Diceros bicornis minor: one gene and its partners. The protein of the gene in region 1 binds, or shares a complex with, the protein of each later gene. Links are inferred from orthologs where the notes say so. Each region holds a gene or a part of one and is shown on either strand. Other genes may lie near its edges. The genes, in order: NDUFAF1, TMEM126B, cytochrome c oxidase assembly factor 1 homolog and TMEM186.

What was found.
Region 2: NDUFAF1 (region 1) and TMEM126B share a complex: the UniProt entries of both Homo sapiens proteins name them as parts of the mitochondrial complex. The link is inferred for Diceros bicornis minor from reciprocal best matches to the Homo sapiens genes NDUFAF1 and TMEM126B.
Region 3: NDUFAF1 (region 1) and cytochrome c oxidase assembly factor 1 homolog share a complex: the UniProt entries of both Homo sapiens proteins name them as parts of the mitochondrial complex. The link is inferred for Diceros bicornis minor from reciprocal best matches to the Homo sapiens genes NDUFAF1 and COA1.
Region 4: NDUFAF1 (region 1) and TMEM186 share a complex: the UniProt entries of both Homo sapiens proteins name them as parts of the mitochondrial complex. The link is inferred for Diceros bicornis minor from reciprocal best matches to the Homo sapiens genes NDUFAF1 and TMEM186.

What each region holds. Positions count from the first base shown.
Region 1 is NC_080744.1:39,107,480-39,115,287, forward strand, and holds the start of NDUFAF1 (complex I intermediate-associated protein 30, mitochondrial), read right to left. Parts: upstream 3,054-7,808; 5' UTR 2,980-3,053; coding exon 2,404-2,979; intron 1-2,403. UniProt on the Homo sapiens protein: As part of the MCIA complex, involved in the assembly of the mitochondrial complex I.
Region 2 is NC_080746.1:46,900,976-46,908,640, reverse strand, and holds the start of TMEM126B (complex I assembly factor TMEM126B, mitochondrial), read left to right. Parts: upstream 1-4,624; 5' UTR 4,625-4,646; coding exon 4,647-4,724; intron 4,725-7,467; coding exon 7,468-7,589; intron 7,590-7,665. Other genes in the region: DLG2 (disks large homolog 2), read right to left, coding at 2,643-2,661. UniProt on the Homo sapiens protein: As part of the MCIA complex, involved in the assembly of the mitochondrial complex I. Participates in constructing the membrane arm of complex I.
Region 3 is NC_080780.1:901,050-908,932, reverse strand, and holds the start of cytochrome c oxidase assembly factor 1 homolog, read left to right. Parts: upstream 1-4,731; 5' UTR 4,732-4,804; intron 4,805-7,883. Other genes in the region: BLVRA (biliverdin reductase A), read right to left, coding at 4,264-4,297. UniProt on the Homo sapiens protein: Component of the MITRAC (mitochondrial translation regulation assembly intermediate of cytochrome c oxidase complex) complex, that regulates cytochrome c oxidase assembly.
Region 4 is NC_080765.1:40,623,030-40,630,139, forward strand, and holds TMEM186 (transmembrane protein 186), read left to right. Parts: upstream 1-4,069; 5' UTR 4,070-4,936; coding exon 4,937-5,671; 3' UTR 5,672-6,923; downstream 6,924-7,110. Other genes in the region: PMM2 (phosphomannomutase 2), read right to left, coding at 3,677-3,742. UniProt on the Homo sapiens protein: As part of the MCIA complex, required for efficient assembly of the mitochondrial complex I.

The DNA of each region.
Region 1 (7,808 bases):
GTGTTAGTTTCCAAAGGTGTTTATAGCAATCTCAGAGGTATTCTGATTTCAAGAATACCAGTGCTCAGATATGAACTATTATTTACTAGCTGTGTAACTTTGGACAAGTTACTAAATCTCCCCAAGACTCAGTTTCCTCATCTGTACAATTGGGATGATCATACCTTACAAGATTGTTGTGAGGAATAAAAGGGATAATGTATATAAAGTAATTAGCACAAGGACTGGCAGGGTACATTTAATAAATGTTATCAACTATTTTCATTACTCCAAAGTAGGTAACTAGCCACAATTATTTTCTACTGTGGACTGACCAAATCCATTTTGTGGATTTTCAGTGCCAGAAAAAAATTTTGTATGCAAAGTTTGTTGCCTCTGAAAGAACACATACTTTTCTTTTTCATCATTATCCGGAGAGAGGGAGCCTCAGACTACTCCTAACATTTGCCTTTCTCCTTAAAGCACAATATCCAAGCAAACATCAGGGGCTGTGGCCAAGGCCAGGCACGGGAGCCTGTCCAGCCCACCCTGAAACAAAGCCTGGTGGGCAAATTTGCAAAAAGCCATAGACTGGTAGTGAAGACAAAAGAGCTGACCTAAGTAACTTTGGAAAATAGTGTTCTGACTGGAAACTGTAACGCTACAGATAAAACGAACTATATGTCAACATTGTACTCTAGTTGGTAAAGTTATTTCTCTCAGAGTTATGGGTTAAAAATTCCAAAAGTGCTTTACATGTATAAGTAATGTTACTTATTTAGTATAATTAATAAGTAAACGGATGGTAAATGATGGGAGACAGGTTTCTCACTGTTAGAGAGAAGTTACAGATAAGAGGGGGAAGGCTAGAATGAATCATATGGTACTAGATTAGTCAGACCATCAGTATGAACTCATATTTAGGTTAATATAAATATAGAAATTATAGACAAGTGTGTTTCCACACGTTGGTATGCATACATATATTTCCCAGCTGTGTCCACTGAGAGCGCCTAGAAGTAGTGGCAACCCAGTAGCAACAAGCATACTCAGCACCCAGATCTTGGTTTCTAATACCATTATCCAAAAAAAGGAACCAGGGCTCCTTTGAGAAATGGTTAATTCTAGGGTTGGAACAGGGAAAATACAAGATGAGCTTAGAGCATCTTATAGTTCCAAAGAGTGCTCAAAACACAAAAGGGTGGGGGCATATCAAAGGGATAGGAACCAACCTGAAAGAGCGCCCAATGGCCAAAGCTGGAACAATTTGAACAACAAAATAAATAACATAGTATTGAATTATAATCCAAAGTGTGAGTTCATACTAAATGACTGAATAAATAAATAAGTGTGGGAGAAGAAACAAACCTTTACTGAAGAATCCCAAATAATTTATGTGAACACCACTACTTCCAGGAGATAGAGCTTAAACCCATGCCCCACCACTCACATTCAATGTAGGGTGTTCTTCCAAAGAACAGAGTATGGAAAGGAGAGAAAAACAAGTAACTTAACAATGGTAACCTGGAACACTACCTTGACCAGGTGATCAAGGTTAACACAATAGTGATAAGTCATGTTGCTAGCATGACCCCTGATATGATGTGATGAGAAGAGTACTTCAACTCTGTAGTATTCTTCCTAAAAACCCAGAACCCCAGCCTAACCAGGACAAAAAAACATCAGAAAATCCCAAACTGAGGGTCATTCTACAAAATACCTGACCAGTATTTCTCAAATCCTCAAGAAAAATAAGGAAATACCAGGAAACTGTCACAGACCAGAGGAGATTAAGGAGACATGACTAGATGTAATGTGGTATTCTGGAATAGAAAAAGGATATTAGTGGAAAAACTAGTGAAATCCAATACAGTCTGGAATTTATCTAATAGTAGTGTACCAATGTTGGTTTCTTAGTTGGGACAAATGGACTATAGTAATGTAAGAAGTTAACAACTGGAGAAGCTGGGTGAGGTGCATACAGGAACTCTCTGTACTATCTTTGCAATTTTTCTGTAAATCTAAAACTTCTAAAATTAAGTTTACTTAAAAAAAAAAGCCACAAGCTGACCCTACATCCACTCTAAGGAACCCCTGGACATTATGGGTTCTATGGTCTACGTTAGAGGAGATGTGAATCTCCCCAGATCATCTTTCAAATGTCTAACCTCTCAGGGCTCCTCAAACATAAGAATGTCCCACCTTGGCCCAAGGTGATGCCCAGAAACAAGAAACTCCTCCTCTAGAACCATTTCCTCCTTGTGCTTCCGCTTTACACTTGTGCCCAGTAGTTATTTAACCCCATACACAGAAGAGATACCAGGTGTTTTCATTTACAGAAACAAAAGCTGTCTGCTATAGTTCATGCTACAATGAAGTTCACCCCAGTTCACTAGAAAACTGAGGCTGCTGGGCCTCACCTACCCTTGGAATCCTGGATATCATTGCACAGTACCCACTGCGGCCACTCTCCCCATCCTGAGGCGCCTCAGAGCTCAGAGTCCCATACAGTAGTGCACTTTGGTTATTCTTGCCCATTTTCAGGAACACTTCACTTCTGCCTCCAATTGTCTTATCAGAAGTCACTATCCACTTATCCAAATCTTCTTTTCCACGGAACTTCCAGACAACCTTGGCTTGTTCCAGGAAGACCTCATGCAGAGGGCGGCCTTCAGGCCCTATCCAATGATTCACAATATCATCCTTCAAACGTGAAAAATGGTCCTTTATCTCATCTTTAATTGCTTTATCAAAACTAACTTCAGGCTTCTCCTCAGGAGAAGTTATATCCAAAGCAACATCTCTCTGGTGATGTCCTTGCAAATCCCCTTCAGTCTTCCTCTGAGAGGAAGCTTTGCCAGAAACAGCCACTGGTTTCTGAAGACTACTGGAACAATAGTCTGCAAAGCGACTACCCCAAAGTGGATATGATGCAACACTCAGCTTCAGGCATTTTCTGAGAATATAAGCGCCATTCAGCAATTTGTGAACCAAAGCCATGGTGAGAGCAAGTCAAAATGTAAATTTCTCACTGGGCTACCACGGAAAGAAGCAAATAGCCCAGTTCCACCTATAACAGAAAAGACGTTGAAGAGTTACCAGTACAGCAATGAATGCACCACAATTTCAAATTCAACACGGATAATGTATTATGAAATTCATGAATTTATTTTCTAATTCTATAAATATTTACCCAGGCCCTATTATGAGCAGAGCACTATTTGCACTGTATGTAATGCATCCCACTGCTGTGTGAAAAAAAATACCAAGACGAATAAAAACACAGGCCCGTCCATAGAGCTAACGATCAACCCAAAAATTATTCCAATATGTGCTGAAAGCTACCTAAAGAGGTTTTATCAACCTTAAAGCAAATTTTTATGCTAGATTTTTAAAGAAACAATTGGTTCCTAAAATAAAATATACAATTAATTCACTCTAGGACCTGAGCCAACCGACTTAACACTTCAGCACTTCATCATAAAAACAAGGACTACAGTGAGCATTGTATGCGGACTCAGAAAACTTGGACTTGACACCTGGCTCTGCCCACTTATTAGGTTACGAGTATTGTGAATACTGGCAATTTCACATGGTTAAATGTAATAAACCTGTTTACCCTCAGTTAAAGCAGTTCATCTTTTGAGGCCTCCATTTCCTCGGGAGTAAGACTGTGTTAACACCTCCCCCACGTACCTTAAGGGATTCTTCTGAAGATCAGATGGAATAATGACTATATGAGGGCTCTCTGATCCATTAAGTCTGACAAGATCCCCAAGATTCTTCACATCTAACAAGGTCCTAGTCCAGGGCTCATACTTTGAGTAACAAGGCTTTGACTATGTCACTATTCAAGCTCCTCAAAGATAGAACCTAAGCAATAGTAGCAATAATACCATAACATATCTTTAAATATCATTCTTAATATTTTCATATCACTCTGACATATATTATCTCATTTAATCCACATAAGGATCCTGTAAGGCAAGTCAACTAGATATTTCCTTTTTCTAGGAAACTGACACCAACAGGTAAAGTGACTTGCCTAAGCTCACATTGCTAATTGGTATCAAAGTTAGAACTAGAACCCTGGCCTTATGTCCTTCCACTAGATGCTGCTGCCTATCTATATGTAAAACATTAGCAATATAACTTCTATAGCTCTAATAAAATAACAACTTTGCTTCTAGCAGCAACATTTAATGAGTGCTGGCAGGAAGTGCTGCCAGAATCAGGAAGGCTAGACTAGTCCCCTCTTCTATCTATTCCAGCTACCTCTAAAGGGAAATAAAATACCCAAGGCCAATTTATTTGCCTTTCTCCTCTCCCGGCCCCAGAGACCAGAAAAGAGAAAACACAAAACCAAAAACTCACCCACTAAGGTGTCAGCTAATAATATGGTGTAATCATACACATAAGTGCATCAAATCAACACGAGGTGCACCTTAAACTTATACAATGTCAATTATATTTCAATGAAGCTGAAGGAAAAAACCCACAATAGCTGATTTATAAGAAAGCCATATTTTCTTTGCTAATTGCCTGATGTCAATAATCTAACTACTACCAGAATATTTCTCTTTCTAGTGGTTAAACATTGGAGCAACAAACATGTAATAAACTGCCAATAATTACCCTAGGATTCTCTAGGAAGACATTGCCTTCCTTCCTCTATTAGAAAGAAAAAAACTGTAAACATTAGAATCTACCTCTAACAATTACCAAATGTCCAAATGCTCACTTTCAAAATTTGAGAAGAAAAAGGATTAAATGTGCTTCAACCTGAAAAACAAAAACAAAAACAAAACAAACAAACAAAAAAAACTCACCCACTAGTCAGAACATGGTGCTGAGTGAGACACTAAACGGAACAGTGAAAACATTAAAAAAAAAAAGCCTCAGAAATGCCAAAAATCCAACAAACCAGCTCACCTGCTTCAGTTGCCTGAGTCCACATCAAAATGGCTAACTACAACATAGGACTGGTCATCCTTCTAGAATGCCCCTCCTTCCTCACTGCCCACATCAGGTGGGTCATACCTTCTCTCTCTTAGATCACTGCACTCTGCTTCCTGCCTCCAGGCTTGTAATCCTCACCACCTCATCAACCACTCAGCATCTAGAAGGGCCTAACACACCAAAATGATCATTTATCTTCTCTGATTAAAACACTTCAGAGGCTCTCTTAGTCTTCAGAATAAAGCCCAACTTTCTCCACAGGGTCTACAAGACTCCTCCAGATCTGGCCTCTGCTCATCTCTCCAACCTCACCTCTAGTCATACCCCACTCTGTGCTCCAATCACAGAGAGTACTTGCAGTCCAACAGGTACCACCCAGTACTACCTCTCTGGGCTTCAGGTCTTGGCCAATTGCTGCTCCTAGGAGAACGCCCTCTACTGAATTTGACTAGCTAATTTATACTTTGGGACTCAGCTTAGACATCCGTTACCTCCTCCAAGAACCCTTCCTTGACTACAACTCCACAAGACTGTTGCCCCTCTGATGTGTTCTCACTGCACACTGAGTTTACACTTTCCCTGCTACAATTTACTGACCAATTCACTTGTCAGTCTCCCCCACCAGGCTGGAAGTGCCTTCAGGGGAGAGACTATCTTCATTGTGGTACTCCCAGCTCCCAGTATGGTGCCAGGCATGCAAGAGGCTTCTAATATTTGTTGAATAAATAATATCTCCACATTTCTCCACCTCCGCCATCAGCGTCTTGGTTCAGGGCCTTATTGCTTCTTACCAGGAATACTGTAATTCCCCTAACAAAGGGCTTCTCAAACTTGAGGGTCCTTATGAGTCATCTGGGAATTTGGTTAAAATGCAGATTCTGATTTAGTAGGTATAGGGGCGGGCCTGAGATTCTGCATTTCTAACAAGCTCCCAGGTGATGCCCTTGGTTTTGGCCCATGGGACAGCCTTTACATAGCAAAGTCCTAACTCATCCCCCTGACTCTAACCTCCCCCTCCTCTCCCAATCCATCCTTTGCCTGGCAACAAAAGGGATTTTTCTAAATATGATGGCATTCCTCTTATAATAATTCAGCAATTCCCCCCAGAAATTCAAACTCCTAAAATGGCACACAAGGCCCTCCAAAATGTGCTCAATTCCCTGACCTAACTTCTCCTCATATCCATGGGCAATATCCTCAGCTCTAATAAGACCAACCATAATCACATCTGAACACAGGAAAAAAAAACAAACAAACATTGTTCAAACCACAAAAGTGACCAAACATTCTACCATGCTGGCTAATATGAGTGACTGCTGTATCCTAACCAGCCATGGCACTAGCCTCACTCTAGATGGGTAAGATTCCCTCCTACATTAGATTTAAGATAACTAATCGTAGAACTATCTCCACCTCCTGACTACTTTCCCAAAAATCACCTAACACAAGCCTAAATCTAATAATAAGTCCCTTTCAACATCCTCTTACTGAGATGCCCCATGGTGTCCCATGGTGTGTGTTCTCCCTCACTACAAGGAGTAATAAACCCAACTTGCTCAACTAGAGGCACGTTCCTGGAGGGAACTGTAGGGCAGTTCTGACTGGAGGGCACTGACATTGCTCTCCTTCCATGGTCTCATAAGAACCTGTGCACACGTTCATAGCCCTTACGTAACCTTAGACTCTTGCCTTCTATCTGTCTACATAACTAGCCTGACCTCCTTAATCTTAGGGACTATGGCTTGAACATAACTGATGTTCAATAATGTTTGCTGAAAATAAATGAAAACCATGTAAACGATATGTTTTCACGTGGACTAAAAATAGAAGGGAACCAGAAAAAACAAAAATAGTTGATCAGTGGTCCCAGAATCATAGGTACTATTTAAATTTCCCTCACTTGTGCTTAAATGATTTTACCTCTACATATACAGGAATTCGGAAAACAAGCCCATAAAGTGGAATTTGTACAATCATAAAAACGATTCTTGTGAACCCCATGCTTAGGCTACACTACTAAGTGGCATATAAGGAGGAATCAAAATGGCATTTACTATAACATTAGGAGTATAAAAATGTACAGACAAAAAAGACTTGGGGGGAAAGAAAAAGGGCTTTAAAATCGTGTGTAGGCTGATGGAATTATGAGTAATATTATTCACCCTATTTTCCAAACCCTCAGTAATGCTGTTATTTCTCTAACATTATAAATGTTTTGTTTCATATTTTTACCAATAAACATAAAGTCAAACCTATTCACTGGACGATGCCAGGCCAAAGTTGACAGCGAGTTTTGACGGCAACGTAACCCACGCAGCTACAAGCCATTAGTCTTAGTAAAAACTGTATATCCAGGGCTCAGCATGTGCCAGAAACTGTTCTAAGTGCATTTTCTTTAACCCCTCACAACAACTCTGAGAGAGGTACTATTATTATTCCAATTATAGAGACCGAGGTCCCAAGATTAAATTACCCGGGGTCATACAGCTAGTAAGTGGCAAAACTCTAGAGCCCCGGTGTTTAGCTCCCGATTCGGGTCCGGGAAACAGAAGGGACAGCGCCGCAGCCAGGCGGCCCCTCAACCCTCACCTGCTAGCGCTCTGTGGCCCCCCACTCCCGGACGCACCAACAGCCGGCTGACGCCCAACAGAGGCTTCCGCCAGGGTCCCCTGCTTTTCCTAACCGGGTTCTCCACTTTTCCCGTGTAGGTCCGTCTGCCTTTGCCATCCGGCGCCAAACCAGGCAATAGGACACTCGAGTTCCGGTCCGGTGCGGAGGCCTGGGAAGAGCGGCAAAGATCCCAGAGCCGAGCGAACTGAGGCTTTTGGTCCACTAGCTTCCCAAAAGGCCCGGCTTCTACCTCTGCTAAT
Region 2 (7,665 bases), on another chromosome or scaffold:
TATCTACCACATGTAACAATGAAGAAAGAAAAAAGATTCAAGGGCCGGTCCTGTGGCTTAGCGGTTAAGTGCTCACACTCCGCTGCTGGCGGCCGGGGTTCAGATCCCGGGCGCACACCGACACACCGCTTCTCCGGCCATGCTGAGGCCGCGTCCCACATACAGCAACTAGAAGGATGTGCGACTATGACGTACAACTATCTACTGGGGCTTTGGGGGGAAAAAAATAAATAAATAAAATCTTTAAAAAGAAAAAAGATTCGGGGCCGGCCCGGTGGCGCAAGCGGTTAAGTGCGCGCGATCCGCTGCGGCGGCCCGGGGTTCGCTGGTTCGGATCCCGGGCGTGCACCGACGCACTGCTTGGTAAGCCATGCTGTGGCGGCGTCCCATATAAAGTGGAGGAAGATGGGCACGGATGTTAGCCCAGGGCCGTCTTCCTCAGCAAAAAAAGAGGAGGATTGGCGGATGTTAGCTCAGGGCTGATCTCCTCACAAAAAAAAAAAAAAAAAAAAAGAAAAAAGATTCAAGATGACAGAGGACAGTGCAGAATAAATCTAGGTTATACTTTAAAATATTTGTTTTACTTATATTTTAGAAACAGTATAGATAGTAAGCTTAACCAGTTAAAAATATAATGCACAGGTCATAACTTGTTTGGCTAGTTGTCTATAATATTCAAAAATATATATCTTAATACTAATAGTTTTAAGCTATTAAAAAAAGATAAACTACTTCTCTAGGTAAATTACATAATGCATATATCTTAGTATAATCCACATATATACATGTTTTGCTAATTAGAACTGATTGATTCCTTAAAAAATTTGATCCATTACTATCAAACCATTGTCAAAGAAGAAAGAAAGAAGAGGAGGGAGGGAAGAGGAGAGGAAAGAGAGGGAGGGAAAAAGGAAGGGAGGGAGAGAGAAAGGAAGAAAGGAAAGAAGGAAGAGAGGGAGGGGGAAGGAAGGAAATAAATATCAAATTATTTCTCATAAAGTAAGATTTTCAATAACGTATCAGCAATTTTCCTTTAAAGGTAGGAACTTTTAATAAACTCAGTCTATTGGGTTTAGAAACCTTAAGTTCACTCTGCTTAGTTAAGTTATACCTAGAACATCAATTGCCCTTCCTCCTCCTCCTTCCCAGATACCTTTTTATGCCTTTCTCTGTCTCTCCCCCTCCCTCTCTCCTTTCTCTCTCCCCCTCTTCTCTTCTTTCTCTCTCTCTTTCTCTCACACATACACACACACACAGACATAAAGCGTTTAATTCAATTAGTAGTCTAAAATAAAGTAGTCCAAAAGGGACACTGTGTACAGAACAATAAATGGTAGACAGAGTAAAAACACACAGCAAGCTAAATAAGTCAAAGAGCCATATCTTTTATTTGCTACATTCCCAAAACCACTCTTGTTCCAGATAAACCAATTGTGTCAGGTCTGGACAGGTGTGGCTCCAAAATCTCATAGTTTACTTCTCTCAGTGATATTATGGGGGAGAGCAGAAGGAAACAATCCCAGTCTTAAATCCCAGTGTATAAAGGGACAGTTCTAGGTGTTTCAAAAGTTTTATATATCATTGCTCATCTCTACAGATACCAGTTGGGATAAAGCATCTCACTGATTATAAGTTTCTTCAATGCACCTTTCAAATCCACAGGTAGAAGGATTAAACATCATGCAGAACCAGGTTGCACTTTAACCTTCACCCTGGGCTTTAGTCTCAGACTGCAGCAACTCATATAACTAGTCAACATTTGGATCTATGCTAGCCCAGTACAGTAGAGTTCAAAGGTGTTCATATAAATTTTGGTTCAAAACTCTCAAGAAAACTCTTTATAGTTGATCTGATCTTCCATACAACGTCAAAAAAACCAAACCTGTTTCACTAGGATCCTTAAGAACAAAGTTCACCTTGGTAGATCTAGGCTAAAGTGAATCCTCAAGATCTGACCTATAATAAACTATACCTCAGGAACCCACTGGATTTTGATCAATTCGGGGTGGGGGGGTGGGTTGGGCGCAGAGTGTCAGGTGTTTGCTTCATTTTGGGAACTTGCCAATCATGTTATTGGATAATGCATGCATCTGAAAAGCACAACAGTTACCAAAGTTGTGCTTTTTCACAAAAGTGAAGATTTACACTAGTGTAAACCCAAATACTAAATCTATTTTTTAATCAAAAGATAAATAATAAGTCTATAATTTTTTTCAGTGCAAACAACTTTACTATCTTTTACAACTATGTAATTTGCTTGATAAATATTAAATCCATGAGGAAGAACTCTACTGTACAAGTTTTTTAAAGATTCTTTAAAGTAACCTTTAACAAGCTAAGAAAACAAGCTAAAGAAAAATCAAAACCTGTGGTATCAAATCTACGCTGATTATAAATGGTGATTTAGACAACCTGATTTATGAAATCACAAATGTCTGTAATTAAATACTATAGTCCTACTTCATTTCACTTTAGCAAAATAATATTACTGAATGATGTATCACTGAAAAGACATTATTACAGTAAATATTTCCCCAAACTCAAACAAAATTTTACTCTCAAATGGAATACAATTTAAATTGCGAATACCAGAATGAAGAACATGAAGAAACATATACTATACAGGAAGCCTCATAGCCCACCTTTCTTTTTGACTGGCATTCTTGGGTCTTTGCACTGCCACAGGATTCAAGATCTCTTTTCAGGTCTCAACTTGATCCAGCTGGATTGAGGCCAAGAGCCAGGTAACTGTTGCAAATTACTTTACTGTTCAGTTTTGAAATCCAGGCTGTCTTCTCTTTCACATAAAGAAAAAAAGACGTATATTTTCCACAGTTAAACTTTTGACACTGCCCACACAGTTTAGAGAAAAATAACTTTTGAGTTTTTCAATTTTTATAAAATATTTGTTCTATTTAAAAAAAAAGCTGAGAAAATTATTGTAAGCATAGAAAACGTTATTAAAACTCCCCTTCAGGCAGCAACATTTTTGGAGTTCAGTGACTAACTCAATTAAGGCACAAACCAAATTTACACAGCTGTCTCATTACTCTATATATGATCAAATTCAAAGATGAACCGCTTGACGATAAAGATTCTCAATTCTTTAGAGAAAATTTTAAACCCCCTCCAAAAAAAAAATACTTAAAAAATCTCTTTGACTCTGGTCTCTAAAAAGGTGGGTGAGTTTGAACAGTTTTCTGGGGCAGAACAGAGACTGAAAGGCCCCTTTCTATTTACTGGACCATAAGTTCCGGATCATCCCCTCAGTAAGACAGAATCCAGCTTGCTGTCACTTCCATTTTTTTCTTCTGTGCTCTCCAAGCCCCTCAGGCTTTATCCTTAAAGCCCCTCTGATTCTGATCCTCCCATGTATTAACCGAGAGGATTGAAAAGAGGAAAGCAATCCCTTGGCATGGAGACATTAAAGTGACAGTGCTACTCAATGGGCACTTGATGCAGGATGAGTTGGCGAAGTAGATTTCTTCACACTGGAGTCATTCACATCATGCCATCTCTTCGCATCCAAGCAGCTCCCTATCCGGCGAGGAAAAACACTGAGACTGTTCGCGAGGAGAAGTCAAACCTTCCCCCAAAGGTGTTTTCTGAGACGCTGTAGTAGTATTAGGCATGTAAGCATAAGCTGTGCAAACGGTTCGCGATTTCCTAAACGAGAGAGTTCGGCTGCTTGGCTTCCACATCCACCCTTTTTCTCAATCTCTCTCCAAACTACCCACCTTCCTTTTGCGGAAAAGACACGAAATCTCTCTGCCACCGCTGGCCACCCCTGCCCACACCCCGCTCTTATACAGAAGAGCAGTGAAATGTCCTGCACCCTCCACGCGACGAAGTGTTTCCTCAGGCAGGAGGAACAGCAGCACTAGAAATTATATAACTCTCGAATTTGGCTTCTCTAAGACATGGAGACTGGAGGGTCGGGGGTTGCTGGTCTGGGAGATACTGCTGGGCAATGAACGTGCACAAAAGGGCGCCAGGCCTCCTCGCAGCGTCCCCCACCCCGAAACACCGGCTGGCAAGGAGGTCTTCTCGGAGAGTGGGGGGCAAACTTCTCTCCAGTCCCTTTCCAAGCAGGGTGAAAGGGTGGAATGTGAGAGGACTCAAGACTGGGGAGAGGAGTCAGGCGGCTGCGAGGGGAGGAGGCTAGTCGGGGCTGTGCTGACGGCCGGCTGGGGGCTCTGGGGAGGAGGTGTCCGAGAAGCTGGAGTCTTAACACACGGACCAGGCCAGAGGGGCCAGCTCCCTCGAGGAGCGAAAGGGGCAGGCAGCTCGGCCGCAGCCAACGGAGGTGCCCTGAGGGGAGGACAGCGCGAAGCAACACCCCCACGCTCGGAACGCCCCACATTCCCCTCAGGGTGGGAGAAGAGCGAGCTAGGCGAACAAACAGCAAGGGAAGGGAACGCAGGGCTGGCGAGGAGGGGCGGGCCCACGGGCGACTGGACCTCCTCGAAGCCAATGAGCGGCAGTAATTTCAGGACGCCGAGCCCAATCACAGCCAGGATGGAGGGCGCGGCTTTTGACTGGGTCGGGGCGGGCCCCGGCTGCAGGAGAGACGCGTGAGCCGGCACCACTTCCCACCCTGGGCGTTCTGGGTTCCCGCCCACCCGCAAGTCACGTGAGCCGCCAAAATGGCGGCGCTGGGGCGTGAGGCTGGGGCTGACCTGAGGGACGCAGGTGTGCAGGTGGGAGCTGGGGGAGCGCCCAAGGTAGGCAAAAACCGGGAGTTCTGTGGGCAGTGATTTCTGCAGCCTCAAAGTGTTGGCAGACTCTTCTGAAATGAGGCATGTAAAAGGGATTTGAAAATCTAAAGAGACCAGCTCCCACATCCATGCAGGTCGTACTTAATTTAGTCCTCAGTTGCTATGGAAAGAGGCAAAGAGAAAGTAGGAGACCTCAAATCTAGTCCTGGTAGCTTGCAGCTTGTTTTCTCTTGCCTCCGAGCGTCTGCACTGGCCTTTGCTTCAACTTGAAATACCTCCCTGCACCTGTGCCTCCCCACCCCACCTCCGCCAAATTCTCCTCTTTCGGATATTCGTTTAAATGTCCCCTCCTCCAGAAAACCTTCCCACACTTCCCCTGGCTAGGTTATGTTTGGCTTTTCTTATGTTTTTTGTTTTGTTTTGATGGCACACTCATCCTGCGTTTAAATTGCCTGCCTTTCTAGTCCTGACTTCCGGCTGGGTTGTGGGTTCGTGAGGATCTTGATTATGGGTGCGGGGGTGGGGGCTGTGGGAGGGGCTGTCAAATACCATGTGCTCCGTAAATGATGAGTGAATGTCGAATAAAATTCTGAAAGTCAAGTGAAATAATATGAATAAAAGCACTACAAAACCGTAAAATGCTTTGTAAACTATAAACCTACATAAATGCACTCTTACTGGTACAATCGTGGTGACCAGTTGAGTGGCCTTAGACTAGTTAATTTTTAGATAAAATGTTGGTTATAGCAAAATCTTTACATTTCAGTACTTGTTAACAATCTATCAGAAAGTGACCAGTTACTTTCTCTGCTTTATTAACAATGCTTTGCAAAGACTAGGCACTCGATAAATATTTGCTGTCGTGTTTCAGTATTTTGAGATCATAATCCTGAGTGTCTGTGTTCCCTAGATACTGAGGCTGTAGACAAGGTAGGAGGTTGGTACAAGGCATTGCCTGAAAGTTTTCTTTGTGGGGAGTAAGGGACTTCAATGAATGGGATGATTGCAAAACAAAAATTTGTCCAAGGTTTCTGGTTATCATGTTACTGACATCTGCCTTCGTGGTACGTTAGATAGATTAGATATAGAATCTCCCTTAGATATTACTATCACTTCTCTTCCATTTTCCATTTAAATGTCAGAGAGAGAAAAAAGATTAAACCTAGTCCCTGAGAAATTGTAATTTGTAACATTTTTTTTTTTCCTGTCCTCCTCAGATATGTTAGGGAAAGAGAACTGGCTTGAGTACAGTTCTACAATGTTGCAGGGGAAGAAACTGGTCCATTATTATTCATAATGTAATACCATATGAAGTTTCAAAGGAACTCATACCTTTAGGATGTTGATGCCATGGATGAATTGGCCTTTTGTTAGTTAGGATTAGGATTGGTACATATCACTTATTTAGCAAATGAGTATTACAGTGATGTTCACCATGGGTCCATTGACTGCCAGCATCAGAATCACTTGGTGTTACTAAAATGTAGATTTCTAGGCTTCACCCTACTCCTCTTGAATACACATATCTCAGGAGGGAGCTGAAGAGACTGCATTTCAAATAAACTCCCCATGTGATTCTTGTGCACACTAAAGGTTGAGAATCACTGATTTATTAAGTATCTTCTCGGTTTATTTTGCTTACTCTACTCTATTCTCTTGCCCAAGACTTCTGAAATTTGAGATTTAATCCATGCCCTTAACTATAAAGGTTGTTAAAATGGAGACTGGTATAAAATGTGAAGGGCCAGAGATTTTGTTATTCGTTCATTGGCTAATCTGGAATCCCATTGATGGCAGCATAGTAAAAGATTTAACAAATGTTATTTTTAAGACTTTTCACAGAGATCTGAGAATCTTACCCAGAGCAAAAGATTCAGAAAAGATCCTTTCTGAGGATCCAGGTTTTTTTTTTTTTTTTTTTACCACTGGTTTCTGGTAAGAAGCTACTAGCCAAACCCTTATGGTCCCTTGACATTGGCAACTGTCTGTTCATACATCACACTTGGGACACAGGAACCTTCCAACCCTGGAGCCCAGTGCCATGTGTCCAGGCTCCGTGGTATACCAAATAGCAATTTCCAGCAAAGGCCCTGCTTCTGCCCAAGGTGCTGCTAGAGAGCTGGATATATAACTTATATGATCCAAAGTAGCCATGATCCACTATGTCTTCCTGGCCTGGAAGAGTGTCCCTCCTTCTGGTGTTCTCTCTTGCTGTTCTCTAAGGCAATCCCCGCTCTCTCCTGCCGTTCCAGGAAACTCAACATAATCTCCAAAATGAGCTCAGGCTTTCATGAGACAGAGGATAGAGATAGTTGTCAACAAGTAGCTACTGTTTCCTTCCAGCTCTGAAAAAGCTACAGCAAGGAGAACTAAAACAAAGGGCCTGGGTACCTTCAGGGAAAACTGTAAGGAAAACAAAAACTCAGTATTTCAATAAGTTATCCTTCTACACTAAGTCCTAAGGCAAGTCACCCTTTCTGAGCCTCATTTTTCTCATCTATAAAAGTAGAGATGATCATTATCCTACTAGTTTCTCAAAGTTATTGTGTGAATCAAAAAGCGATTGTCTAGCAGATCGTAAGAGCTCACTAAATGTTGACTGAATCATTAACAAAGTGTGTGAAAGCAGATGACAGTTACCTGACACATTACTGGGGTCTAAATGTTTTTTAATCTGAATCTGTAGAATTTTTAAGATTTAATATTAATATCGTTAGCTATTATGGTTCTGGAATTTTGTGTTTTCCAGGACATCAGGATGGCAACATACACACATGGTCAGCCCAGTCCTTCTCTAGGAGATGCAAAACTCAGAAGACCAATGGTCATCGAAATCATAGAAAAAAAATTTGAATATCTTAGAAAAGAAAAGTAAGAGACACCCCCAGACTGAAAGTCAATAACTTTTATTTGCAGATCTTCTGTATTGCCATTGTTTCTGAGTATC
Region 3 (7,883 bases), on another chromosome or scaffold:
TAAGCCATGGGGCCAGCCCTTTACTAAATTTTTATCTAGAACTTCTGCTAATTTCTGAGAGAAGTGTTGACAGATCCAACTATAACTGTGGATTTGTCTATTTCTCTTTTCATTCTGCCAGTCTCACCTGTGGTGGGCAGCAGCTGATGTCTCTCTTCAGTTTTTGAGCCTCAGATAGCTCAAAAGTCTGCTCCACATGTGTGTGTTTCAGGTGTCAGCCAGAAATATGGGCAATTCATACACAGAATTTGGTCTTCTTCCTCTCTAACTTCTCTCCTTTTTGGGATTTTTATATCTTCGTGATGACGTAACCTCCTTATCATTATAACTGTCCCTATTTTCTACAACCAGCATATTTGAACTGTTACAATTTCCTATAAAACTACAGTAGATCCATGCAATTTCCTGTAACAAACATGTAGAACAAGCATAGACTTTGGATTAAAGGTGACATTTTATAAGAGATAACAAAAAACTTTTCCAGGGTTAAAAATCAGGATATCACAAGGGAATTTCTTGTAAACGAACTAGTCAGGACTCAATTTCATGATGATAGTACGTAAGATAAGTAAGAAAGAACATTCATCCCACTTAGTTAATGTTAATTTTATTAGTGTCTTTGAGGCAAATATTGTCTAATTTACATTTAGTTTTATGACAAGATGCAATGGCATGCTCAATGCTTTGTTTTCTCAAAGCCTCTGTGTCAAATTTTTCCCTATTCTCTCAATAGCTGGATACTTCCTTAACATGATAATAGATATCTACCTCAGTCCCCTAAACTAGCAGCATGCTAAATGGGAAAATTCTAGAGATATCCCATTAAAGGTAGGAATAAGACAAGGAAGCCCACTGTCTTCACTATTATTAAATATTTTTTGCTGGAAATACTATCCAATGCAATTAGATATGAGAAATTAGAAGTACAGTCATTGATGGTGTTCAGGGCAAGCCGCCCGAAGATGTGCCACTCTGGTATGTGGATTATTTCGACATAATAAGACAATAAAGGCTCAGAAGATGCAGGAGAACATTTGAGCTTCCCCTCCCAAACTGCCTAAAGAATTTAATGTAGAATGCCTGTTACAGGAAGGAGCCACTACCATATGATGGCTGTAGTATATAATGTAAAATAAATGCGATAAGAAAGGCACCAACAAGCCCATCTTATCAAAAATTCTGTCTCTCCAGCCACATTCTCTATAGGTGGCCCTGTAAAGATCTGCCTGACAAACATTTGCATTTCCATCTCCATGTGAATTGTCTTCTTCCCCTCTGAAATCCCAAACCACTACCCCCAACAACCTCCCTGCCTTTAGCTGAAAATACTTAAGTGAGCAGCTTAGTCAGAAGCACGAGTTGCTCAGTTTCTATTTTCTGAGTTTCTCCCATGTATACATGTTCTTAAACTTTGTTTGATTTTCTCCTGCTAGCCTGCATTTTTAATTATTTGGCCAGCCATAAGAACCTTAAAGGAAAGGGTGGGGAGGCATTCTCCCTCTTCCCCAACATCATGCAACACATAATGAGGTTTCGCGGTCAACGACGGACTGCATATATGATGGGGGTCCTGTAAGGTTAGTACCATATAGCCTAGGTGTGTAGTAGGCTATACCATCTAGGTTTGTGTAAGTACACTCAGAATGTATACCTGTCAGTAAGCGATGTATGACTGTATAAAATTTGGAAGGATTAGGTAAAACTATCACTATTTCAATGATATGATTGCAATCCTAGAAAATATAAAAGAATCAACTCCAAACAATAAGGTAACTTAGTAAGGTAGCAGAGTAAAATATTAATATGCAGAAAATGATATGTCCACGTATATAAACAACTACCATGTGTAGTAACTCCATTCAGATTTGATAGTTCCAGGCTGCTGCTGAAATACTGGATATGCTGTATTGGATCCTGCCATTGTTGAGTGCATTTCTCAAAGTGGCCATCTCACCACTTAACAGTACCCCTCATAGACAGCATTATAGCCAACACTCCTCCTCTTTCCACCTCCTACCCCTGCCCTGGCTCCTTAGAAGTTAAGAGGTAGTGAAACAGATTCTTTCCTTAAATATATAAAAAAGAGAGAGACAGGGCCAGCCCCGTGGCTTAGCGGTTAAGTGTGCACGCTACGCTACTGGTGGCCCAGGTTCAGATCCCGGGCATGCACCGATGCACTGCTTGTCCAGCCATGCTGAGGCCGCATCCCACATACAGCAACTAGAAGGATGTGCAACTATGACACACAACTATCTACTGGGGCTTTGGGGAAGAAAAAAAGGAGGCGGATTGGCAATAGATGTTAGCTCAGAGCCGGTCTTCCTCAGCAAAAAGAGGAGGATTAGCACGGATGTTAGCTCAGGGCTGATCTTCCTCACACACAAAAAAATAAATAAATAAATAAAAAGAAAAGAGAGAGAGGTATGAATCAGATAGGATACTTTTGACTATAAGAAACAGAATCCTTGTCTCAAGCTGACTTAACAATAATAACTAACATTTTGAACGTTTAAAACATTACCAGCACTATTTTAACTCATTTAATCTTCACACTATCTCTATCAGAAAACAAGAAGGAAACATCAGATATCCCTACAAGAAGTTCATAAAGAGGGTGAGCTCCAGGCTTGGAATAATATTTCTATCACTTTGTTCAGCTGTCCTCAGCATCAGCTTTGATTGAGCTAACTTGAGGCACTTGCTCATCCCTTGACCAACAACTATTCCTAGAGGAATTCTGTATGGTGATTGGTTTAGATTTAATCAGTATCATTTTATAGTGCTGGGAATAGGGTGGCTATCTGAACAAGATGTGGGTTTCGTAACAAAGGAGTAAGAGGAGAATAAATATCAGATACATACCAACATTAACTATAAACTATTAAACCATATTAAAATTTAGATCAAAACTTTAGTAGATGTAAGTCCAGTGATAGAAAGGTAAATTCTGAGTTTTCAAGCAAATGGTCAGAAAAGCCTATTTTATGCTTTCTTTTTACAAAGTAATCATGTTTCTCTTTCTGGTATGGTATAGGAGCTAAGTGATCCAGGGTTCATTTTCACAAATACTGTATAAAATACACATATACAAAACCTCATAAGGTTTTTGTTACTTGATTTATTATATGAAATCTCAAGCTTGGTGTAAGACATTGCAATCTTTTTTTTTTGTGAGGAAGATATTAGCCCTGTGCTAACATCTGCCAATCCTCCTCTTTTTTTGCTGAGGAAGACTGGCCCTCGGCTAACATCCGTGCCCATCTTCCCCTACTTTATATGGGATGCCACCAAAGCATGGCTTGCCAAGCAGTGCATTGGTGCATGCTCGGGATCCGAACCGGTGAACCCTGGGACGCCGCAGCGGAGTGCGCGCACTTAACCGCTTGCGCCACTGGGCTGGCCCCAGACATTGCAATCTTAATCTCTTTGGGTTTTAAGAAGTCAATAATCAATGTCAGATCAATGAAGATTAATCAATGGATGCCTATTTTATTTCTTCATTTCCTCTGATGTAAGGAACCATTCAAATAGTCCTTATAGTTCAAGCACCTTAAAATCTGATTAGTTTCTATTAATTCTTCATAAAAGAACTATTCTGGGGATCCATAATTTAATGACAGGCCTCTTTGATAATGTGCTCTTTTAGCCAGTGGACTCCAAAGTGATGGCATGTATGTATGGCAACCTATTTGTTGCATGGGCAGAAAACAGAACTTCTATTAATATTTTTATTTCACCTTTCTAAAGTTCTATTTCTTGTGAAAATTTTATAGTATGCATAATATATATCAATACCATACATAGTACGCGTATATAATCTAATTTTATTTCTGATAGGGAGGTGTGATCAAGAGTTTGAAGACCACAGCCTTAGACTAAACTTGAATAGTCTGGCTATGGTTATGCGGTAACCATAACTCCATCACCCTGGAGTTATGGTTATGATGTGTATGAACACATCACATTTAGGTGACCCATCAATCGTGAGACTCATTGCTTTGTGGAAGAAAGGTACTTGGACTCTAAGCTTCACATTGAAAATGTAAATGATGATGAAAACAGTGGTGATGATGGCAATGGAACGGTCAAGATGAAAATAACAGCTAACGCTTATTGAGCACTTACAAAGTGCCAGACGATTCTAAGTGCTTTACACCCTCACAAGAAATCTATGAGGTACTATCATTATCCATTGTAGGATTCTATCATTATCTATTTTACTACTAAACTCCATGAAAACAGAGACCATTAGTTTTTTCTTACCCTTGCATTCCCTGGAGCACAGTAGGCATTTCATAAATATTTGGTGAATAAAAGAAAATTGAGCGTTGCCAAATTTCTCAGCCGAATAGGGCAAGGTGGATTTCACCGCCAGCGTGGGGCTCAGATCCCCGTGGCTTCGCGTCCTCGCGGGAGAGCCGAAGCGTCAGATCTCTGCGGGGAGCAATAGGAACCAGGGCTTTAAACTTCCTCGGCCAGCGCTCCCGGACTGCATATGTGTGTTGGGGGCTAACGGGACGTATAAAACAAAAAGCGGGGATCTGAGGAGACGAACCCGTTCCCGACGCAAATCCGAGCGTCTAGGAAGCTAAGCCACACAGCCCAGGCCGTCCCAGCCCGCGCCCAGCCGCTCGCGGGCCTTCGGGCGCCAGCCATCCCGACGCTCTAGCCCCGCGAGGCGGCGACGCCGGAAGTCTCGACTGCTCCCCGCGGGGCGCGCCCACCCGCGGCTCTGCCCACCCACTGCCCACATCCGGAAGGAGCCCGTCTGCTTCCTGCCGCGTGGTGCCTGTGTCCCTGACAGGTCAGCCTTCGCCCCTCGGCCTGGGATGCGCGAGAGGGGTGCGCGCCTCTCCTACCGCCAGAAGCGCTGGTTCCCGCAGTCCGGGCGGCCGCGTTTGCGCGGCGGGCGGGCTGCTGCAAGGGCAGCCCCCTCAGGGGTCACCTCCCGGCGGCTCGCGACCTCCCTGGGCTGCGTGGATGGCGCCTGGGGGCCCGTGGTGGGCTCCGCGCCTTGAGACGCTGCAAGGCGCCCGTCCCCTTGGAGCTGTGAGGCCGTGCGCAGCTGACCGTCGCCTCGCCCTGCGGTCCTTCCTGGGCGTGCCAAGAGCCCGTTTGTGAAGAGTCGGGGTCCTCCCGGAGAGGCGACAGTGGCGCTCTGTTGGTAGTCCTGAATCACGACTCTCTGAGGAGGACCCTGCCCAGATGACTGTGCGAGAGAATTTTCTGGCGCAGTGGTCATAATAGTTTTTGTCCCCATCGAACTTGAGCTCCATACAGAGGCTGACCATACAAGTGATTTTCAGTGTGGGTGACGGGGCGTGTGTGTGTGTGTGTGTGTGTGTGTGTGTGTGCGTGCGCGCGCGCGCGCGCGCGCGGTGTGCTGTGTGATTTAAGAAACCCATAAAGATTCTTACATTTTGACATTTGCTTCTCATTTCTTCCCCCAGCTCCTCCCCGTTCTCACCTGAGGGCTATTGCTCTACTTCAGCTTTGGACAGAATAGCAACACCACTTACACTTTGCACATTTAAAACACAGATCTGATTGTGTTATTCTTCTCAAAGTCTTATTGGTCCTCCCGTTGATTCAGGATAATACGAATTTCTTAGCCTGGCATCAAGACCCTTCAAGGTCTTGCTTCTACTGAGTTTTTCAGTCTCATCTCCTTTTATGAAAAACACGGTTATAGATACGTACTGTATGCTCCCGCCTTGCCAACCTGCAGTAATTTCATGACTTTGAATATGACGAGGTTTTATAATGGTTTGCTCACATTTTGAAATTTATTTTTCCATTTAGTCAGAATTTATTGAATTCCTGATATTGCTAGGCAGTGTTTTAGGAGCTGGGGATATAACGGGAAAAAAAGTCACAATCTACAGTCCTTTTAAAAAATAGCTTAATTGAGGTGTAGTTCGCATACCATAGAATTTACTCATTTAAAATATATTGATTTTTAGTACACTTACGAAGTTGTATAGCCATCACCACAATCAATTTCAAAACATTTTCGTCACCCCAAAAAGAAAACCCTGTACCCATTAGCAGTCTCTTCTGATTTCCCGTCTACTCAACCCTACTCCTAGCCCTGTGCAACTACTGTACTAATCTACTGTCTATATATTTGCATATTCTGGACAATCCATATAAATGAAATGATAGGGTATGTGGTTTTTTTTGATTGTTTTCTTTCACTTAACATTTATGTTTATTCATGTTGTAGTATCGGTACATTCCTTTTTTTTTGCTAGGTGATATTTCATTGTGTGGATATACCACTATTTATTTATCCATTGGTCAGCTGATGGACATTGGAGTTGTTTTGGCTGTCATAATGCTGCTATGAACATTCATGTACAAGTTTTTGTGTGAACAGCATGTTTTCATTTCTCTTGGGTGTATACTTAAGAGTAGAATTGCTGAGTCATATGGTAACTCTTATGTTTAACGTTTTGAGGAACTGCCAGACTGTTTTCTAAAGCGGCTGCACCATTTTATATTCCCATCAGCAGTCTATGACGGTTCTGATTTCTTCACATCCTCGCCAACACTTGTCATTATCTGTTTTTTTAATTCCACCCATCCTAGTGGGTGTGAAGTATATCTCATTGTGGTTTTGATTTGCATTTCTCTGATAGCTAATGATGTTGAGCATGTTTTCATGTGCTGTGAGCCATTTGTTTATCGTCTTTGGAGAAACGTCTATTCATATCCTTTGCTGATTTTTAAGTTAGGTTGTCTTTTCATTGTTGAATTGTAAGTGTTCTTTATATATTCTAGATACAAGTCTCTTATCAGATATATGTTGGTCTTGTAGATTATGCTATAGTTCCTTTAAATGAAGAGCACATAAGGTTAATTTTTAGTCTTCCTGGAGACCATGTTATAGCTCTGTGGGGGTAGTTCAGAGAGTGAGTTGAATAACAACTTCAATGAGTGGAGGACCAGGCCCCGGAAAAAATGCTGTGAAGAAGCTGTGAGCAGCATTTTAAGATTTGAAAAACAAAGCAGGGGGAAATAGTTTATAATCTATTCCCTATTGAGTTTTGTCTTTTCCTTATTGATTTGTAGGAGTTCTGTGGTAGAGATGTTAACCCACTGACTGTTAGATATGTGGCAGATATTTTCAGTCTATTTGCCTGTTAACTTTGTTTTATATCTTTTGCTATGCTAATGTTTTACATTTTTGTGTAGACAGGACTCACAATCTTTTCCTTTAAGAGGCTTCTGGGTGGTAGTTTGGGATATTATTCTCAAATTGCAGGACTTATAGAAACTGACATAGTAGTTCCCTGGTTGTGTGATGTCTGAGTCCCTGGTACCGTATTTAACTTTATAGTGTTCATTGTTTCAGACACTGGTGCCTCCCTATCTCTCTGCCTTGAAAAATATGTGTAACCTGCTTCAGCTTTGTTGGTTCATTTAATTTTCTGTTTCAAATAGACTCCTAGAAGTTATTCCCTTATTTATGTTTAATATACTGCATTAGGTTTGTGTGAACCATGTTGGACAGTGGTCATCGAATAGTAGGTGCTTATTTCATGCTGGCAGAAGTTTATTAGAAGATTTTTTTCTGTGCAGAACTTGACTATAACTATGCTGGTTCTATATTGATTGGGGCATGCTGGGAATACTAGTTTTATAAAATCCTATTATTTTGATATTTGTTTTTCTCATTTCATTGGTTTAAATGTAGTGGTAATTGAGATATTTTTAGGATCTCTGAACATTTTGAGAAACATTTTGAGGAAAGCTATACCATAGCTCCCTGGAAAAAGTTGCATCTCTACTCTACATACAACGTGCGAGGCTTCGTTATTTCCCTATGGCCTGATTTGTTAGGAAGACTGTTTCTTGCTTCAATCTTTCTTTGTTTAAAT
Region 4 (7,110 bases), on another chromosome or scaffold:
CAATCTTCTCTTTTTGTAAAAAAGTTTTTTTACAGTAATACATACATATGATTAATAAAATAAAATTGTACACAAGGGCTTATAACAGAATGCAATCTTTTCTACACCTTCCGGTGGAATCTCGACCTAGCAGACAAAATCTGGAATTGCACTAGGGGCCTCTATGAGTCAACGACTGTGACAACAGGTCCCCGAGTTGCCCAAGTGGTTTACGCAGACCTGACATCAGACGGAGAGGAAATGGGGAAGACTCCTTTGATTGCAAAATATTAAAAGTCCAGTACTAACAATAACAACAACAAAGGCAATACCTCCATCTTCAAACGGAACCCTAAGCGTACCATTTATTCTCTCTCAACCCTGATGCACACTAGTGAGCTGGATGGTACTGTGGTCGGCCATCAGACCTGTTCCACATGTGAATGGGTTGTAGAAGGCACCCAAGTGGCAGCACATACTTCTGGACAGGAAATGAGACCCAGCTGCTTGTGATCACAACAGAGCATCTAAACTACATCCCACTGCAGGAGAGATCTTTAGGGCAAAATAACCACATAGCAAAATTGTCGTGATGTTCCCAAATACCTCTTATGCTGATAATTACAAGGAATTCTTTATAAATCACCCAGACAAAATAAAACACAGAGAAAGATCCAAAAGCTTGAAATTAAGGTGAAAAAAAAATTATAAAAGGCTTTTTTGGGACAATTAAGGAAACCTGACTGGAGTAGAGGAAGCGTCAGCAAAATAAGGCCTGTGGGCCAGAACTGGCCCCTGCCTGTCTCTGTGAAGGACGACTGCAGCACAGCCACGTCCACTCACTTATGCAGTGTCCGCGGCTACAACAGAGCTGAGCAGTCGTGACAGAGAGCACACGGCCTGTGAAGCCTCAACTACTTACTATCTGGCTTTTTACAGAAAAGAGTTTGCTGGCCCTTGGACTGGGGTATTAACACGAGAGAACTGGCGATAGTTTTCTTAGGTGTGATGATGATACTGTGGTTACGACAGACGTTGTCCTCGAGAGATGCAGGCTCAAATATTTAGGGGTAAAGAACTGTGATGACTGCAGCTTAGGAAGTGGTACAGCAAAGATTAAAAAAAAAAGAGATAACGTTAATATCAACCATCGTTGAATTTAAGTGGTAGGGATATGGCTGTTCTGGGCACTATTTTTTCAGTGATTCTGTATGTTTGAAATTTTTCATGATGGAAAGTTGGAAAACAATTCACCTAGCTTTATGCCCCTCTTCTTTTTGCAGGCTTTTCTTCCAAGTCTCGATTGTTTTTAGATGGAATGGCATTTCTCAGGAAAGTACTCAGCACAACAAAATTCTACTAAAACAGTGAAATGTGCAAAGATTTTAATTAGATTTTACCTGTTTAGGTCATATCCTCTTTCAGCAGCTGCAAGAAAAGATAACCTATTCTTCTGCTTCTGGATTGTATTCTGCTTACCAATGTTTGAGAATGCATGTATTGAGAAAGAGAAAGGTTGCATAATGAATAGATTTGTTGCTAAAATAATTTTTATTTTTTACCTACAGCACACAGAAACAATTCTCTCTTAAACTACAGAATTTTTTTTTGAGTGTAAAAATTATTTATGTTCACTGCAAAGAATATAATGTTTAAAATGTTTTAATGCGGGGCCGGCCCCGTGGCTTAGCGGTTAAGTGTGTGTGCTCTGCTACTGGCAGCCCAGGTTCGGATCCCGGGCGTGCACCGACGCACCGCTTCTCCGGCCATGCTGAGGCCGGATTCCACATACAGCAACTAGAAGGATGTGCAACTATGACATACAACTATCTACTGGGACTTTGGGGGGGGGGGGCGGGGAAGGAGGATTAGCATGGATGTCAGCTCAGGGCTGATCTTCCTCACTAAAAAAGAAAAAAAAATGCTTTAAGGGAATAACGGGTTTTAACGGAGTCCAATGGGTTGCCTGGTTTCTTTACTATTTCATACTTTATGCTTATATATCCTGATTCCTTCTGGGAATCAGAAGCATTTCCTAAATTACATACCCAACAATCAGAACAGCTTCCACCTTAGAACAGTGGCAGAAAATGACAAATTTAACAAATAACAATGCCCCGAAGCCCAGAGACTTGTACCAGATCTGCTGTGTGAAATCGAGAAGGTCATGGTTTCACAGGGTCTCAGTTTCCTTACATTTAAAACGTAGTAACAACTATTCTACCCGGGATGAAGGAGGGAGAAAGGTTGAGAGGGTCCAATGACATAATGTAAAGAAGCTTGGAATGTACCCTGCAGACCATTATGGCCAACAGGCCAAATTGAGCAGCTGGCTGTTTTTGTAATAAGTAAATAAAACAAACTTCTACTGGAACACAGCCACGCTGTGTCTACATATGGTCTATGGCTACTTTTGCATTAAAGTCGCATTAGTTACGACAGACCATATGGTCAGCAAAGACAAAAGTATTTGCCATCTGGCTCTTTACAAACCATGAACTGCTGACTTCTGCTCTAGACCACTATGGGCTTTTAACAACTCCCTAGTGTGTCTTGATCACTGAATCTCAAGAGTCAAAAAGAGGCCAGCCCCGTGGCTTAGCGGTTATCTATAAGAATGTGCAACTATGGCATACAACTATCTACTGGGGACGGAATGTCTAAAAGAAAAAACAAAGCCTTGTCGGCAAAAAAAAAAAAAAAAAAGTCAAAAAGGGCCTTTCGAGAACTTGCAGTTGAGTATCATCACTAGGTAAATCAAACCTGCGGCTCACAAAGATAAAATGATATGGTTAGGGTCACACAGTCGACGTGGAATTCTGGAGCATGCCACTACTACCACCTAGCCAAAACTAAGGGTGGCAGGGACAGAACTTGAAGATAGTGAGGCCATTTGGGCCCACTCTCAAGTTCAAATGGCTGGTGTTCAGTGACCAATTTGTGCAACGGGGAGGCCAGAGCAAGCTTGAACACAAATGCTGATCTTAACTCAAACCTATCCGTGCCCGTAGCAGCAAAATTTGGAAGTGGGAAGCACGTTTCCATGGGTCCAAGGGGGCTCTCAGCAGGCAGCCTGTAACAATCTAGGTCTCCTCCATAACCCTAGTCCACTGCAGAGGCTGGAGGAGGGGGTGGTGGCGGCGGATAATATTTATTGGATATCACCGAACACGGCCTACCGTATGCAAGATACTTTCATGAACTTATTTGACTTCATTCGACCTTCACAATCACCATATGTAACACGTAATGTCCCCATTTAAAGCTGTGGATGCTGAGGCCCTGGGGTTAAGCTACTTGCTGAAGGTCACACAGCTGTCCAGAGGTAAAGCTGAGCCTCTACTAGGTCTGTTTGCCTTAGAAACATGCTTTTCCTATCAGGCTACAAGGCACAGCCCATAGTCGACCCGGGCTTGCGGTGCGAGTCCAGAATTGCGTTTCCCAACCCAATACAAACTTCTTGCTCTCAAGAGTTTTTCGGCCCCGTCCCATCTCTCCGAGCAGCCTGAGGTCTTGAAGAGCTGGCTGGGGTTCCGTCGCATCCCTCCAGGGCACCCAGAAGCGAGTTTAGCCCCGCCACAGCAGGGAGGCGGTTCTTGGACGCCCCTCGACGCCCACCCCGGGCGGCCGTTCGTCCCGCATAGGAGCAGCAGGGGGCTCTGCACTGGCTGCTGCCCGCCCGCCGGGCGCCGCCTACCTGCCGTGGTGGCGTCAGGGTGCCGTCCACGTCGAAGAGGCAGAGCGCTGGCCCAGGAGCCGCCATGTCCAGACTTTGCCTCACACGCGACTTGACTCGTTGGCACTGGGAACTCGGCCCGGAACTTCCGGGTTCGGCCCCCGTGTCGCAGGGCACGCCGGGAGGAGGAGAATCCGCTCCCACAATGCCTGGGACTAACGTCAGCTAGTCTCGCCGGACCACAAATCCCAGAGTGCAACGCGCCCCAGAGCTGGCCTACTACGGCCGAGCATGCGCTCTTAAAGTTTCCGGGGGAAGATGGGATTCACTTCCGGCAGCAGGAAGCTGGCCCATGGTAAGAAGGCGAGTGCTGGGAACTCAGGGAGGTGACCTGGTTTTGGGGTCGGAGTCAGGGCTGGGGGAGGCAGGCAGACGCCTGGGGTTCCGATGCGGAGAATCCGCGGCGGATACTTCCGGGGTGGGTTACGATTTGCAATCGCCCGGCTTCCTCTGCGCTCAGGTCACGTGGGCCAGCAACAGCGGTAATTAAATGTGACTGAGTGCGCACCGTGCAAGTCCATCAAGTGCATTTGAGGACTTTAAAAGCATTACCTCAGTCAGCGTGTTCCGAATCCCCATTTGAAAGATGGAGAAACTGAGGCCCACAGAGGAGGAGTAACTTGCCCAAGGACCCGTAGCTGGTGACTGCAGGAGCCAGGACGAGAACCCAGATCTGGCCCGAAAACCCAAGGCATCTTTCCCTGCACTAGTCAAGGTGTAGAACTGTGCGTCTAATAAAATCCTTGGGCCTCATCCCTCCCTCCTCCCTCGTTCTTCCCCCTCCCCCTAACTAGGCTAAGAACACAGCATTTCCCTTCAGCACCCAAGATGACGCTTTCCCCTGACAGAGAATTGGGAAGTTGTTAGGATGCATATCTCTTGGATTTGTTCCCCACCAGAACATTGATTGTTTAGCTTCCTGCTTGGGTAAATGTTCGCACAGCCTTATGCTTCCAGCGCCTGGCCCAGAGTTGGCCCTCCCTGGGTGTTTGACGAATGAATCTCCTTGAACTGCCTAGAGGAAAGAGGATCTGTTTGAATCAGACCCTGCCCCACTCGCTGGCTGTGTGTCTGGGTAAATTTCTTGCCTTCTCTGGGCTTCTCGGTGGTAATGTGGAAGGAGGGATGCTTGTCTTGCGCAGCTTGCATGAAGATCACATGAGGTACAGCATCTGGCTTTCCCTTTCTCTCTGTCTCTGGCAATAATGGCGACCTCACAAGATGGTCGGGAGCCTTGGTGTAAGATGCTTTGCAGATGTCCATTGTGTGATTAGCATGGTTGAGTTCTATGAGAGAAATGGTCTCCTGTCTCCCTTGCAGGCTGCCCTCCTCCGGGTTGTGCCGCGGTTGCCAGGGCCAGCGGCGTGGGGAAGGCCTCTCTACCGGCTATGGTGCTGCAGTGGGCAGGATCCTAGGAGGTGGGTGGGGAACAAGTCGCCCGCCTCCAAGGAGAAGCCACCAGGCACAGAGACAGAGAAATTCCAGATGGTCTACCGATTTGATGCCATCAGAGCCTTCGGGTACTTGTCTCAGCTGAAGGTGGCACAGACGGCCCTGACGGTGGTGGCCCTGCCTCCTGGCCTCTACTGGTACTCCCAGGGCCTCATGACTTTCAACTCCCTGTGCCTCGTGGGCGGGATCGCTGGCTTTGCCCTGGCCATGCTGTGCTGGATGAGTTATTTCTTCCGGAGGCTGGTGGGCATCCTGTACGTGAACGAGTCAGGCACCGTGCTGCGGGTGGCTCACCTGACCTTCTGGGGCTGGCGACAGGACACGTATTGCCCCGTGGCCGACGTGGTCCCCATGACGGAAACCAAGGACCGGCCCCAGGAGCTGTTCGTGCGTATTCAGCAGTACAGCGGGAAGCAGACCTTCTACCTCACCCTGCGCTACGGCCGCATCCTGGACAGGGAGCGTTTCATGCAGGTGTTTGGGATGCTGGACACGCTCAAGTGAACAGCTGGGAGCCGGGCCTCTGGGTCACCCTGGGCCACCTGGATCTCCCATGGGAAGGCCGAGGGTGTGAGTGAGGCTGAAGAAGGGGACCGGCCAGCTGGAGACTTTGCCAAGGCCTCTGGGGACTTGTCTTTTGGGATGCGGAAAATTCACAGGCAGAAGCTAGTAACTGGGTTTAGGAAAGAGGCCCTTCGTGAGAATACTTACTGCACTTGTGTGTGACATTCAAACAGGTAATGGCCAGGAGTTTCTGTTAAGAGCCAGTTCTTGGGGGAAGCTATGCCAGATTCACTCAGACAGTAACTGCTGTGAGGTCGGAAGTCAGAGAGGTGTGGCGGGGAGCACAGGATTGGGAGTTGGAAGACTCCCTGTCCTCAACTCCCTGTCCTCGGGCAGGTTGTTGAGTCTCTCTGAACCTCTGTTTTCAGATCTGTACAATGGAAAATCCTGCCTGTCTATGCGATGAGTGCGAGAACAAATACATGTCAAGGGCTTTCCAAACTCAACAGCCAGGAGCAAACGTGAACCATTAATCCAGGGGAGATGGGGCAGTGAAAGGCTTCTAGGCATTTGGTAGGGATTTTTCGAGCTCTGTGCTGTGCCCCTTCGTGGGCCCGGGGGCAGAAGGAAGGGACTGGGAGGAAGCCTAGAGGTGGGTCATCACATCTTGCCAGGACAGTAACTGCACAGTGGCTGGGGCAGGGATGTTGTCTACACGAGCACAGCCCCCTTGCTAGGACTGTGTTCACCACCCAGGGGTCTAGGGGCTTGCATCTGCAGTGTGATAAAGTCAGATGAACTATATGCTGGGGCATTATTTTATAAACTAAAGCCAGTTATATGCATTGCCCCCCATAATTAGTAATATATGTTTATTATACAATTTGTAATAGAGTAAAGAGGAAGGAAGACATGATCATTATAATTCTGCCACTCAAAAGTCAATGACTAAATGTTGTGTAGCCTTCCTGTCCTTTTTTTATTGTAGGATAATATACGTAACTTAAATTTATCCTTTTAACCATTTCTAAGTGTATAATTCAGTGGTATTAAGTACATTCACAGTGTTGTGAAACCATCACCTTTATCCATTTCCAGAACTTTTTCATCCTCTCAAATAGAAACTCTTGAACCCATTAAACAGGAACTCCTCGTTCCCCCTCCCTCAGCCCTTGGCAACCACTAATCTGCTTTCTGTCTCTATGGATTGGCCTATTCTGGACATTTCATATAAATGGAATCCTACACTGTGTGGCCTTTTGTGTCTGGCTTCTTTCACTTGGCATAATGTTTTCCGGGTTCATCCATGTGGTAGCAGGTATCAGAACTTCATTCCTTTTTTATGGCTGAATAATATATGTATATACCACCTTTTGTTTATCCAGTCATCTGTTGATGGACATTTTGATTGTTTCCACCTTTTGGCTATGGTGAATGAT